Arabidopsis thaliana: one gene and its partners. The protein of the gene in region 1 interacts with the protein of each later gene in a pairwise test. Each region holds a gene or a part of one and is shown in the gene's direction. Other genes may lie near its edges.

Region 1 (4,728 bases):
AGTATATAATCCGGAGACTTTTTTTCTTCTCATTTAGGAAACAACGAGATTCATTTACCATGATCTTCTGTTTTTTAACAGGTATTGAAACATAACTGGTCAAAGTGGTTACCTGGTAGGTATTTCTTTTGTGACCACAGGAGTATATGTTATTTCTCTTTCAGCTGCAAGTCTCTGAGCTTTCTGAAACTCTTTGAGAACTGATTGGAAATCTTTTGCCAGTTTAGCATCAGCTATCTTCTTAATTTGCTGCAAGAATACAAACATAACATCAAAACTAGAATACACATATCATCAATCATGTAAACAATTCTCCCACTAAATGAATAAAATGGTACGATTCTGACAAAATTAAACCAAAATAAAACTGGTTCAATAGAAAATGTTCTCTTAGACACTAACATTCCATAGCATCGTAAGGGAATGAAACAAAAAAGTAAGCATTTGCTTACACTAGCTGATCCATGAAGGTCGGCTTCGCTAGCTTCCTTAAGTTTAGCTGAAGTATTCTTCACCAATTCGGATATCTGTAACCTTGTCTTTTGCCTGCCAACAAAAGAACCTAACACTTTAAAACAATTCACAGAACAAATAGATGAAACCAATCTAAAAAAAAAACAATTTCTCAATACACACACACACACACACACACACAAAAAGCTCATTATTTGCAATGTTGTCAGGCATTATTTGCAATGTTGTCTCACATCGATCAGCAAACTCAAATTTGTTCTTCGGTTAAGGGAAAATAATGCAGGATTAGCTTCAAAACAATTAGAAAACTTTTTCAATTAAAAATTGAAATGAAATCGACCAAAATCAATAAGTAAAACCAAAACCCTAATCAACAGAGATTTAACAAAGAGAAGAAGAGTGTGATTAAGAATTGCTACTGACAGCTTATCTCGTAATTCAAGAGTATCTTTAGGTGTTCCGATCGAATTAACGAGGCGGAAGAAGGAATTGACAGCCGTGCTGATCCTGAAAATCCCGGCGGCGACCTCCTGAGATGGATCCCCACGAGACGAAGGTCTCTGTTGTCTCCCACCGGTAAAACGATTCGGCGCCGGAGATCGAGTACCAGCTTCGAGATCTTGGAAACTCATCGTCTCTTCTCTCGAATCTCTCGAAATTCTCTTATCTCTATCTCAGGGGAACAAACGAAGACGAAGATGATGGAAATGAGTTAGGTGAATTATAAGTTTTCCCAAAATTTAATGTTAATTTTTGTTTTATAATTTGTATAAATCATTTAATCTCATGTGGTCCGCGTGAATATGGTGGTGGAGGGAATTTATTAATACGTATAAATTATTTGGCGGTGACACGCCATTGCGAGGGAAGAATCCTGCGTGTCGTTGTTGACCTCACCTGCCCTTCCGTGTAAAATTGAAACTCGGTTCGAGTAAACCGGACCAATTGAGTGGGTTTGCAGGATAAGGATTGGTTAAATGATTTTGGGCTACATTGGAGTTTAGTAAAAGGAAAAGAGAAGAGTTGGGCCAAAAACAAGGAGAAGTCCAACTTTTTTGTAATTACCAAGTTATCATATTTTATGACTGAATTAATAATTACAGTAATCACTTTGATACATAAACCACTTTTTATAGAAAAACAATGATATATTTTTGTTGATAAAAAGTAAAATTTTTATGTATTTTTTTCTAATAAAACATAAACTTAATAATTGTGTTACGAAACTCCTAACTTTTGTTTTGAACTGAAGAGGGAAAAAATAGAAATATATACTAAAAAAGTGAAAATATTAATTGTTGGAAACAATTAGGGACTAAAATAGGATTAAAGGGCGTAACGCAAACCCACACGTTGAGTGTGAGGTGTCATATAAAGCAAAATACACTCTTCCCTCTCTATCTATCTACGCATCATCGATCTCGAAGTACGTTTCGGTTTTCAGGCCAATCTCTGAATCTGCGTGACAAAAGCAACAAATTACATATCTCTCTCTCTGCGCGACTTCGAAGATCAACATCCATGGCGGTATGCTCTACTTTTTTTTTGTGTATAATTTTGTTTTATGCGGAAAAGGTTTAGGTTTCCTCTGCTGGTAGATATTGTTGCGATCCATTTGTTTATCGGGAAATTTTCTCAGGATTGATATTTTTGGCTATTGATTTGATTTCTTCTTCAATTTGGATGATCTGTTGTTTGATTGCTGCACTTGCCGACATAATATCTCCAATGCTATTTGGACGAGTTTGATGATTATTATTGTCGTTATTAATTGATTCTGTATCTCTGTGTGATCTGTATTCGTGCAATTATCTCTATTATCTCCTTGATTTCTCGGTTTTGGTTTTCGTTTATCGTAGTAAATCGCGATTGTGTTATTCTCAATTTGGAACCGAATCTCGCTAGCCAATTTACTTTTAGATTCCTCCATACATTGTCGATTAGTTTCCTTAATTGGTAGCCTTCATGGTTCATTCGAGTTTTCTTTTTGTATAGTGAGATGATGACAGTCATCTTCTAAGCCACTATAATATTATCCCTTTACTTGCATAATTGTATAATCTTGTGATAAATCTAGGCTTCTTTGAGTTTGAGCTGATTTGATTAAAATGGGACTTTCGGTCGATTAGATATGCTTGGATACAAAAAGTAGTTGTACTGTAAACATTCTCATGAAACACCTGTTTATTGTTTTCGTTAATGATTCTTTCCCTTTTGATTCTTTATGATGACAGTCACAGGTAAGGTCAGTAAAAGTTGGCAATCTCTCTTCAGGAGCAACTGAGCATGATATTAAAGAGTTTTTCTCTTTCTCTGGTGAAGTTGAAAGCATCGATATCCAAAGGTTAGTGATATTGTTTCCTTGTTCTTTGATTTCAAAATTTTGACATTTAAAGCTTTTTTTGATCAATTAACTTCCGAAGCTTTTTCTCAGCAAATTTAGATACAGTTCTCTTAAACTTACTGACTCTGAGCTTTGTTTTTGTTTTCTTTTTCTAACTAGCAGTAACGAGCATAGTGCTTATGTCACATTTAAAGAAACTCAAGGAGCAGAGACTGCTGTGCTCTTATCTGTGGGTTCACTCTTATCTCAATATTATTGTAGTAGCATTCAACTCTTACATAACACTGTTAATTTAGTAATCAATCCATGTCTATAAACCTTCGTTTAATATGGTTATACTTCTCTAGTCCAGACAAAGTATCTCTGAGTATTTATAAGTAAAATTAGTTTGCTTACAACTAATATTTGGGACCATTTGCAATTTGCATTACTAACAAGGGGTGTTATTTCAGGGAGCGAGTATTGCCGATCAATCAGTCATCATTGAGTTGGCTCCCAACTACAGTCCACCAGCAGCCCCTCATGCTGTAATGTCTTCTTCATACTGTTTTTCTTCTTTTTGATTAGTGAAAAGTATTCATCTCAACACTCAATAGAGCAGTAATTTCGTAGAGGTGTTAATTTGTGTTAATTTTCTCAGGAAACACAGAGCAGCGGTGCAGAATCTGTTGTCCAGAAGGCAGAAGATGTTGTGAGCAGCATGTTAGCAAAGGGTTTCATTCTTGGGAAAGATGCTGTCGGCAAAGCAAAAGCTTTTGATGAGAAACATGGTTTCACCTCAACCGCCACCGCAGGAGTTGCTTCACTAGACCAAAAAATCGGTCTTAGCCAGAAACTTACAGCTGGAACAAGCTTGGTGAACGAAAAAATCAAGGCGGTGGACCAAAACTTTCAGGTAACAGAGAGGACCAAGTCTGTGTATGCAGCTGCGGAGCAGACTGTGAGCAGTGCAGGAAGCGCTGTGATGAAGAACCGTTACGTGTTAACTGGTGTGAGCTGGGCCGCAGGAGCATTCAATAGAGTGGCTCAAGCAGCTGGAGAGGTTGGACAGAAAACAAAAGAGAAGGTTGAAGCTGAGCAACCATCGCAACCAGCACAGTCGCAGCAGCAACTGCCAGAAGGGTATTCTCCGATTCATTCGTCCGAATACTCGAAGAACTAATATCATCAAGTTAAACAGTTTCCTTTGTTTCTCCTTGTTGGTTTCTTTGACATGGAAGTTGGAAATCTGGTTTGGTCTTTGGGATGTACCATATAAGCTATGCCTGGATTTTCCCTACCACTATTAGACTATAGTTTGGGTTTTTTCCAATATACATATTTAATAAGTTGACATTTAAATCTTTCTTTACCCTAAATGTTACAAATCCATTTTGTTCCTAGATTATCAAAATGACTGAAATAGAAATTTAAAGGATCTACCTAAGTTTCGATGATAAAATCTAGTTAAGATCAGTTTCAATAATTCAACTTCCACAGCGAAGAAGAGTTTGACCGGTCTGTTGCATACCTCAATTCCGACGATAGCTGCTGAGAAAGAGAGTGTTTAGAAAGTGCAGATTTTAAATAGATCAAGAGCATTCGATATCTCGAGTTTTTCTTCTTCAGAACTTGAATATAAGCGTCTAAGCCAAGCCATATCACTTCTTCTTTGTATAGTTTAAGAACTGGTCTGAAACTAGAACCAGTGTTGATTCTGCGCACCCTTCTATTTATGAGTCTGAACATGTACCTATCAGTTGGAAAGAAATCAAGAACCGAATAAGCAAAAAAAGACCGAATAACTCAAATCAGAATGATCCAAAAACCGAAATGCTCACAGACATATGATGTAGTTTTGATTCCATACCTGACAGATATTGTGATGAATTTGAACAAAGTTTGAGGATGAAGCTTCCAAAACCGGGACA
Region 2 (4,352 bases), on another chromosome or scaffold:
AAATAGGAAAGGGACATGAACACGAGTAGTTTCAGTCCTTTTGGAGGTGGTCAGAGATTGTGCCCTGGTCTCGATTTGGCTCGTCTTGAAACTTCAGTTTTTCTTCACCATCTTGTCACTCGCTTCAGGTAACTATCAGTTACATGGATACAAAATTATTTAATATTTGTTGTAATCTTTAAATTTCAAAACAAACAAGAGGGTGTGGTAATTAGTGCTCTACACTTTAGACAAAATGGTACGTTCGGACCAAATAAATCTAAATGTCTAATCTCTTTTTGACAAGTTGGACTTAACTCTTAAACGATATACAGAGACTTATTTGAAAATATGTTGGTGATTATGATATGCAGATGGATAGCAGAAGAAGACACAATCATAAACTTCCCAACGGTGCATATGAAGAACAAATTACCCATTTGGATCAAAAGAATATAAATCATTTTTCTTAAGTGAAAAATGGAGAATCAGTTTTGCATTATCAAACTCTAAAAGGTTAAAGAAGTCACACGAGTGTTTTGTAAGTGGGAAGTGAAAAAGATAGTGAGACAGCAAAAGGTAAGAAAAAAAGAGAACATGATGGAGTTTGGAGACAAAAAATGATTCACACGTGTGGAAGACGATAGCACACATGCCAACTATTTTGTCGTATTCCTTCACAAGGCAAATAAGGACAGAATCACAAAACCTTTTTGTTGACCGTATATATATATATATATATATATTTTTTTTTTGAAGTACAAAGGTGTATGATAATTATGCATATGATATAGAATCCTAATTTTCATGACTATTTCCTCTCTCTCTTTTTTTTTTTTAAATGTTAAGGACGACTATTCCTCTTCGTATATTAAATTATTAACTAAGAAAATCATTACAGAAAAGTTATAATTCTGGTTCAATCATTTATATATTTCCAAAAGAATGGTCTAATAAAGATATTATGATAGTCTACATCTATTTCAAGCAATTTTACAGTTTTTTTGCTAAATATGTTAATATCATTAATAATGAAGTTGTGGCGTTACAAAGAAAACCAGTACAAAAGCAACTTTGGCAAAAAAAGTAAAAACAAAGCTACAATAGATTTAGGAAATTTTTGAAGACATTAACGGATCCAGAGAAGCATTAGCTTACGCCAACGCTTCCTAAGCAATTTTACAGTTACTAGTTATTTTTTTAATTTTTAACTGGGTGATGGTTTTCTCTTTTCTGAATAGTCTCTAATAGTTTTAGATGTAATAATGAATGATTAAGCAAAGTCATATTATTTCTCCTCCACTTATATGATATGATGTAATTAACATAACAACCCACTGAAATTGATTTAAACAACGTGACAAGACAAGAAAGTTGTGTTGTTTCAACTGAACATCACTAACAACCAGATCTAACCACTAATTGTACTATATTACATTTTTCTCACTATTGTAACTACGAGTTGTTTATGTTAACACAATAGCCTTTAGAATTGATTTGGATAAGAGGGCTTCACTTTTAAGAGATCCATCCGTTAAGCCTGTTAAAGGCCCAAAAGTTGCATAATAGAAAAGCCTATATATTGGCAAAGACGGGCAACTGTTTAGGCAAATAGGTATTTCTTATGTTATCGCCGCCGTTGAGCCTTTTCTTGTTTTTATTCCCTATTTTGAGTTTTTCAAGACCTTGATTTTCATTTATTGTTAGTTATTTCTCGTTTGGCTGATGATAAGTCCAGCCCGAAATTCCGTTGTTATAGCTTTTTTTTGGTGAAGTTTGCATGGCCATGGAGAACACTAACTTTTTTTTTCATGTAAGTAGACAATTTCAGAGATACTAATCCAAGAGATGGCGGATACGTTTTACAATCACGAATCTTGTATGATCACTAACCATTGGAACAATAAGAGTATATAATGAGTATATCACCATTTAGTTCTAGTGGGTGGTGATCATATAAGATTGGTAATGGTAACAGTGAAACATATCCCCCATCTATTGGGATTAATTAGTCTCCCTGAACAGTCGTGAGAGAACCTTTGTTTGCTGCGGCAGACACTAGAGACTGTTGGAAGACCTTGAGATATACAAAAATGTAGAATTATTTTGAAAATAGGTGATGTGGATCTGGTACTACTTGATTTACATATATGTATTTGCTTCTCTGCTTACTTGTAACGAAAGCTACATTATATAATATACCTTTGATTTAAGCAATCTTGTTGAATAGGTTTCTCTGGTTCTTATGGAGAAAAACTTAAGATTTTTGTAATCCATCATACATTTTGGTATAGTTTTGATCTTATATGTATTGTGCTTTGACACAAGCTAACTATTTTCTTGTTTCACAGAGCGGGATCAATTCTAAAGCAGCCATGAGTCTGGCTCGCTAAAGAAGCCTATCGATGTGGATCGTCCAATGGAGAGAGAGCATGTGACATGAAACCTTCGTTGTATTGGGCCAATATCTTTTGTAATTGGGCTGACTAAAAATCATGATAAAGTCCGAGGGAGACTATAAATAATTTACTCATTGTTCCTGCCGACATTACACGTGGCGAAAGAGTAGTTATATGCCAGAGAGACTCCTCTAAAATGGGGTCACGTGTAGCCTGTATCGACTATTCAATAATGCCACTCTCGCTCGGTGACACCGTGTCTCTTACTTTATCATTAGTCTTTCAAATTAACTATATAGTCCTTCAACATGTAGTAATTCATCTACTTATAAATTGCTGTTACCCAAATCTCGAGTATCTAAAACTTATACTTTTCAGACATTGACCAAGTAGTGAATCAAATCCTCACGTTACACTATATTGTAATCTTTTTAAAACACGATCTAATTAAATTTTGTTTTATTTCATAAACATAGATTAGTTTAGAAAACGCCATATGCAAATGTGTATCACCTAATTCTTGGGACCTTTCAGAATTCATATATACACATAACAAACAGTCTTTTCATTTACTTTCTCTATTCAATCTCACACGCGCTAAACCATAACCCGATATTACTAATGACGAACTACGGTGCGATTCCGACGTCGTCTCATGCATCTCCGTTGGTGGATGTCGAGTCTCTCTCACGCGCTAAACACCGTATCAAAGCCGGGCTAGCCACGCGCCGTGCTTGGAGAGTGATGTTCGATTTCCACTCCATGGGACTGCCTCACGGTGTCTCCGATGCGTTCACAAGAATCAAGACCAATCTTGCTTACTTCCGTATGAACTACGCAATCGTTGTCTTGATCGTTATCTTCTTCAGCTTGATCTGGCATCCGACATCGCTCATCGTCTTCACCGTCTTGGTCGTTGTTTGGATCTTTCTGTATTTTCTCCGTGATGAGCCTATCAAGCTGTTCCGGTTTCAGATCGATGATCGGACGGTCTTGATTGTTTTATCGGTGTTAACCGTCGTTTTACTCCTGTTGACCAACGCGACGTTTAATATTGTTGGAGCGCTTGTGACCGGAGCTGTGTTGGTTTTGATCCATTCGGTGGTTAGGAAGACGGAGGATCTTTTCTTGGATGAAGAAGCGGCGACGACTGAGACTTCTGGGCTGACGTCATACCCGTCGACTTAAATCGTTTCATCTCGAAATTTGTGTATCTTTTCTATTTTTGTATATTATCTTGTTTTTTTAATTATGCGTAATCAATTTTTATTGGTGTGAGTTTGGTTTGAGACTTTCTCTCTCTCTTTTGTTTTCTGAGTTTTGAGCTCTGTCTGAAGTTTGAACAATTCTAATTTGTTATAATTTTTATTACTCCCTCTGTCCATAAAAGATAAATTTTTTAGGAAAAATATTTGTCTTACAAAGATAGAAATTTTATATTTGCAATGCAAATTTTAAAATTGTTTTCCCGTTTTACCCTTACTAAATAATTAGATAAATATTTATTATTATTTTTAAAATATATTAAGAGGTTAAAATTATGTTTATACAATATTTCTTAAAAAATGTGCAATTTCTAAAAAATTCATCTTAGTGGGACGGAGGGAGTATTTTATATTCGCAAAACTCAGGAATAATTTCTTGGAATGATTTATTAATCTGAAATATTTAAAATGATTTAATCTGAAATACATAATAAATAATCAAATTAATAAGTCAAACATTATAAATTCAAAATGGGTTGTAATGAATATTCCCTTTTTGCATTCCGTAACAAAAAAATAATCAATTTTTGTTGTAAAGTTTATTCAGGTTGGTTCACCTTCAAAGTAGGAAAAAAAGTTTGGTCTTGATTTAAGTTCTTTTTTCATTTGGGTCACACAAATGAGCAATTTGAAGCAAAAATCCTTGATATATATGCAGGCCTTATTCAAATTTCCAATGTAAAGATTTGAAGCAAAAATCCTTATATAT
Region 3 (3,351 bases), on another chromosome or scaffold:
TGCCATGGCTCTCTTGGTCCGCCTCTACTTAGCTTAGCTCCAGCTACACTTGTCTGGTAAAAATCAGCTTCTGTTCCGAGTGTACGAAACAGTGAATGCTCCTCAGTGTCATATCGACCATCGCAAAGGTCAAACCCGCCAAGGAAGCTCATGATCTCTCGCTCCTTCGTGCTTGAATTTGTCACCCGTGTATCCAGTGTTATTGTCTTTTGGTGGTGTGCAAACGCTGTAGGGAGCTTTTTGTGCAATCTTGGACACAATCTACAAACAACGTTTGTGTTTCTGAAGTAAGCAAGAGCTCTTTCGACGTTTGTTCTCATTACACCTTTGTTCTTGATCATTGGTAAAGACGTCTCGTCGTTCCACAACATTACTCTCACCGCTACACCTTCCTCTGATTTCCGTTTCAGAAGCTCGCCAACCGTTACTCCAACCGCATGTGGAATCTCAGTTTCGTTGTCGCGTACAAGAACAAGATTAGGGTTTAGTGCCCATCCTGCAATGTAAACCAAGTGCCTAGCACTTTCGATCGCTTTGTAAACATCTTCCCATAGATTCCTTGCATTAAAAGGAACATCATCAACCCTTGGATCAAATGTGGCCTTGTGGTGTGCATCTTGATACAGTACGACTCTGCAGTTCGATCTTTGAGGGAAGCTTGCGTTCCTAATACCTTGAAAAGACGCTTCTTCAAGCGCTCTGCACCATCCCGGTTCAAGATAAGCCGGTCTGAACCACATCAAACACTTAAGCTTCAAGTTACGTTTCGTTGACCCATTGTCTGCAATCAGAGGGAAGAACCCGTTGATAACTGCTGAATTAGATGTCAGGATCTGTTCTGCAGAGATTCGGAATCTTCCGAGAACAGAACATCGAGTCTTGAGCGTGATGGTGATAGTCGTGTCAGTAACCGGGTGAGCGCAGAGGATCTGAAAAGTCTGATTCCAAATACGGTCGTATTCTGAGCTTGTTTTAGCAACTTTCTTCTTGTTTATCTTGATGGTCACGTAAGCTGCTTTTGGCTTTGTACATATACACTGTGAACAAAGATAACAAAAGCTCATGAAAATGAACACAATGATAACATCATCAGAGTCACTAATTCAGTATATGATATAGACTTACATTGAAAGGAAATGGAGGAGAAAAAGGTGTTGCATCGAAGATTGTAATCTCTAGTGTTCCATGAAAGTACTTCTTCTGTTCTTCAAGCTCCATCTTCTCTTTATTCAAAATGTATCTTTAAGAGAATGAGAGATAATTTTCTGTGAATTGTCAAGTATGTGTTTGAAGCTGGTCAATTACAGAATGCACAAGGTTATGTCCATCCATATATGTATATGTATTTGTTAATGTTTTTGGTGAAACTTGTAGGATTCTCCATGGACAATCTTAAAGAAAACATTCAACCATATAGATGACAAAATCGAAGGTGAAGTGTCTTTGAATACAAATCAAGCATTCGACTTCGGTTTTTAAAAATAGGAATTTTAAAAAGCAAAGTGTTAGATGGTATTCAAACAAAAGGTTGGGACTAAAATGTGAAAGCATGAAAATATCTGGTGGAGTTTGTAAATATTTGTGGGGATAAGCCACGTGCAGCAACAAAGCGCTGCCAAAGAAACCACTCGGTCGCAGTTTCTTTGGTGAACTAATAATATGAAATTTTTATTCTGCCGGAAAAAAAAATTAATCCTTCTAATGAATAAAATTATGCTGTTTACAAGTAATTAATCAGATTTATGTTTTGAAAATGACAGAGAATATAATATGCTGTACATTTTCCTAAGAATATGTCTCTATGATGCTGACTGTTAAACACATATAATACCAATATTGTTACCATAAATGTACAGTTGCAAAACAAATAAAAAATTATTACAATATAAAGCATTTATGTATTTATTGGGCATGTAACAACTTTTATCCATATGTGACATTTACATTAGCACCATCACCTAATCCATAGGGACACTGAGCAATTTATAAATTATTACAACCAACAAAAAAAAAAGCTTCGTGTCTCTCTTCTCCAAAAATGACGAACTACGGGGCGATTCCGACGTCGTCTCATCCATCACCGGCGATAGATCTCGAATACATCTCACGCGCCAAACACCGTATAAAATCCGGTCTAGCTACGCGCCGCCCATGGAAATCAATGTTCGATTTCGAATCAATGACTCTCCCTCACGGTTTCTTCGACGCGATCTCGAGGATCAAAACGAATCTCGGCTATTTCAGAGCTAATTACGCCATCGGAGTTCTCTTCATCCTCTTCCTAAGCCTTCTATATCACCCAACCTCGTTGATCGTGTTATCAATCTTGGTCGTCTTCTGGATCTTTCTCTATTTCCTCCGTGACGAGCCTCTTGTTGTTTTTGGTTATCAGATTGATGATCGGACGGTTCTTATTGGTTTATCGGTTTTGACGGTTGTGATGCTTTTGTTGACTCACGCTACTTCGAATATTCTGGGATCTTTGTTAACCGCCGCCGTGTTGGTTCTGATTCATGCGGCGGTTAGAAGAAGTGATAATTTGTTTCTTGATGAAGAAGCTGCGGCGGTTACTGAAGCTTCAGGGCTGATGTCATACCCTTCGTCGTAAATCCAAAAATTTGTTTTTTTTTTTTGTATGTTACTGAGTTTGGTGCGATTTGAGAAAACTTGACATGTTCTTCTACTTTGTTCAATTTGTTGACAACAGTACAATTTTTGAGTATGTTTTGTTGGTTAATTACGTTATTACATGATTAGCACTACAAACACTAATCACTTTGGATAAAGCTACTAAAAAACCATAATTGTCAATTAAGAGGACTTTGATTTTACAAAATTCTTCTATTGATCCTACGCACTATACCAAAAGAAAGTGATCAGATTGGCTAGTTGAGCTTTTAGTTATGATCTCTGAGACCTTTCTCAGTGGATAGTCTTCCATTAAACCTCCCTGAGATTTCATTCATTAACATATCTCCTTCCAATAAACGCAACACCTTCAACAACAAGCAAAAGAGCAGACACACTTGAGAGAGTTTTATTGACTTAAAGAAATGAACATGTTTCAAGAATGGTGAATCTTTTCTTTACCTGAGACATGCGAGGACGCAAATGTGGATCTCTACGTATACACAATGAAGCTGTATGAATCATGCAAATGACTTGTGTTTCTGAATATCGCTTTTCGAGCCTCGGATCAACTAATTCCTCAACCGCATACTCTTCTAATAAAGATCTTGCCTGCTCACAAAGAAAATAAAATAACAAAATGAGCTTCAAGAAAGAAACTTTTAGATTTCATTTACAAGAAGAGACTGAAAATGAGCTAAGAAACCTTAAAAAGAAGAAACT

What was found. The genes of interacting proteins can lie anywhere in the genome.
Region 2: the proteins of BPA1 (region 1) and PRA8 interact in a two-hybrid assay, tested with the Arabidopsis thaliana proteins (2 studies listed by BioGRID).
Region 3: the proteins of BPA1 (region 1) and PRA7 interact in a two-hybrid assay, tested with the Arabidopsis thaliana proteins (one study listed by BioGRID).

What each region holds. Positions count from the first base shown.
Region 1 is NC_003076.8:5,534,047-5,538,774, forward strand, and holds BPA1 (binding partner of acd11 1), read left to right. Parts: upstream 1-1,822; 5' UTR 1,823-1,995; coding exon 1,996-2,001; exon of another isoform or gene 2,002-2,708; coding exon 2,709-2,818; intron 2,819-2,977; coding exon 2,978-3,047; intron 3,048-3,270; coding exon 3,271-3,345; intron 3,346-3,458; coding exon 3,459-3,980; 3' UTR 3,981-4,204; downstream 4,205-4,728. Other genes in the region: SYP21 (syntaxin of plants 21), read right to left, coding at 113-249, 453-546, 898-1,106; TERT (telomerase reverse transcriptase), read right to left, coding at 4,277-4,550, 4,668-4,728.
Region 2 is NC_003074.8:4,494,416-4,498,767, reverse strand, and holds PRA8 (PRA1 (Prenylated rab acceptor) family protein), read left to right. Parts: upstream 1-1,967; 5' UTR 1,968-2,999; coding exon 3,000-3,566; 3' UTR 3,567-3,789; downstream 3,790-4,352. Other genes in the region: CYP90D1 (cytochrome P450, family 90, subfamily D, polypeptide 1), read left to right, coding at 7-128, 354-438. UniProt on the Arabidopsis thaliana protein: May be involved in both secretory and endocytic intracellular trafficking in the endosomal/prevacuolar compartments.
Region 3 is NC_003070.9:20,586,412-20,589,762, forward strand, and holds PRA7 (PRA1 (Prenylated rab acceptor) family protein), read left to right. Parts: upstream 1-1,985; 5' UTR 1,986-2,038; coding exon 2,039-2,608; 3' UTR 2,609-2,788; downstream 2,789-3,351. Other genes in the region: PLDEPSILON (phospholipase D alpha 4), read right to left, coding at 1-1,037, 1,126-1,218; AT1G55200 (kinase with adenine nucleotide alpha hydrolases-like domain-containing protein), read right to left, coding at 2,898-2,996, 3,091-3,240.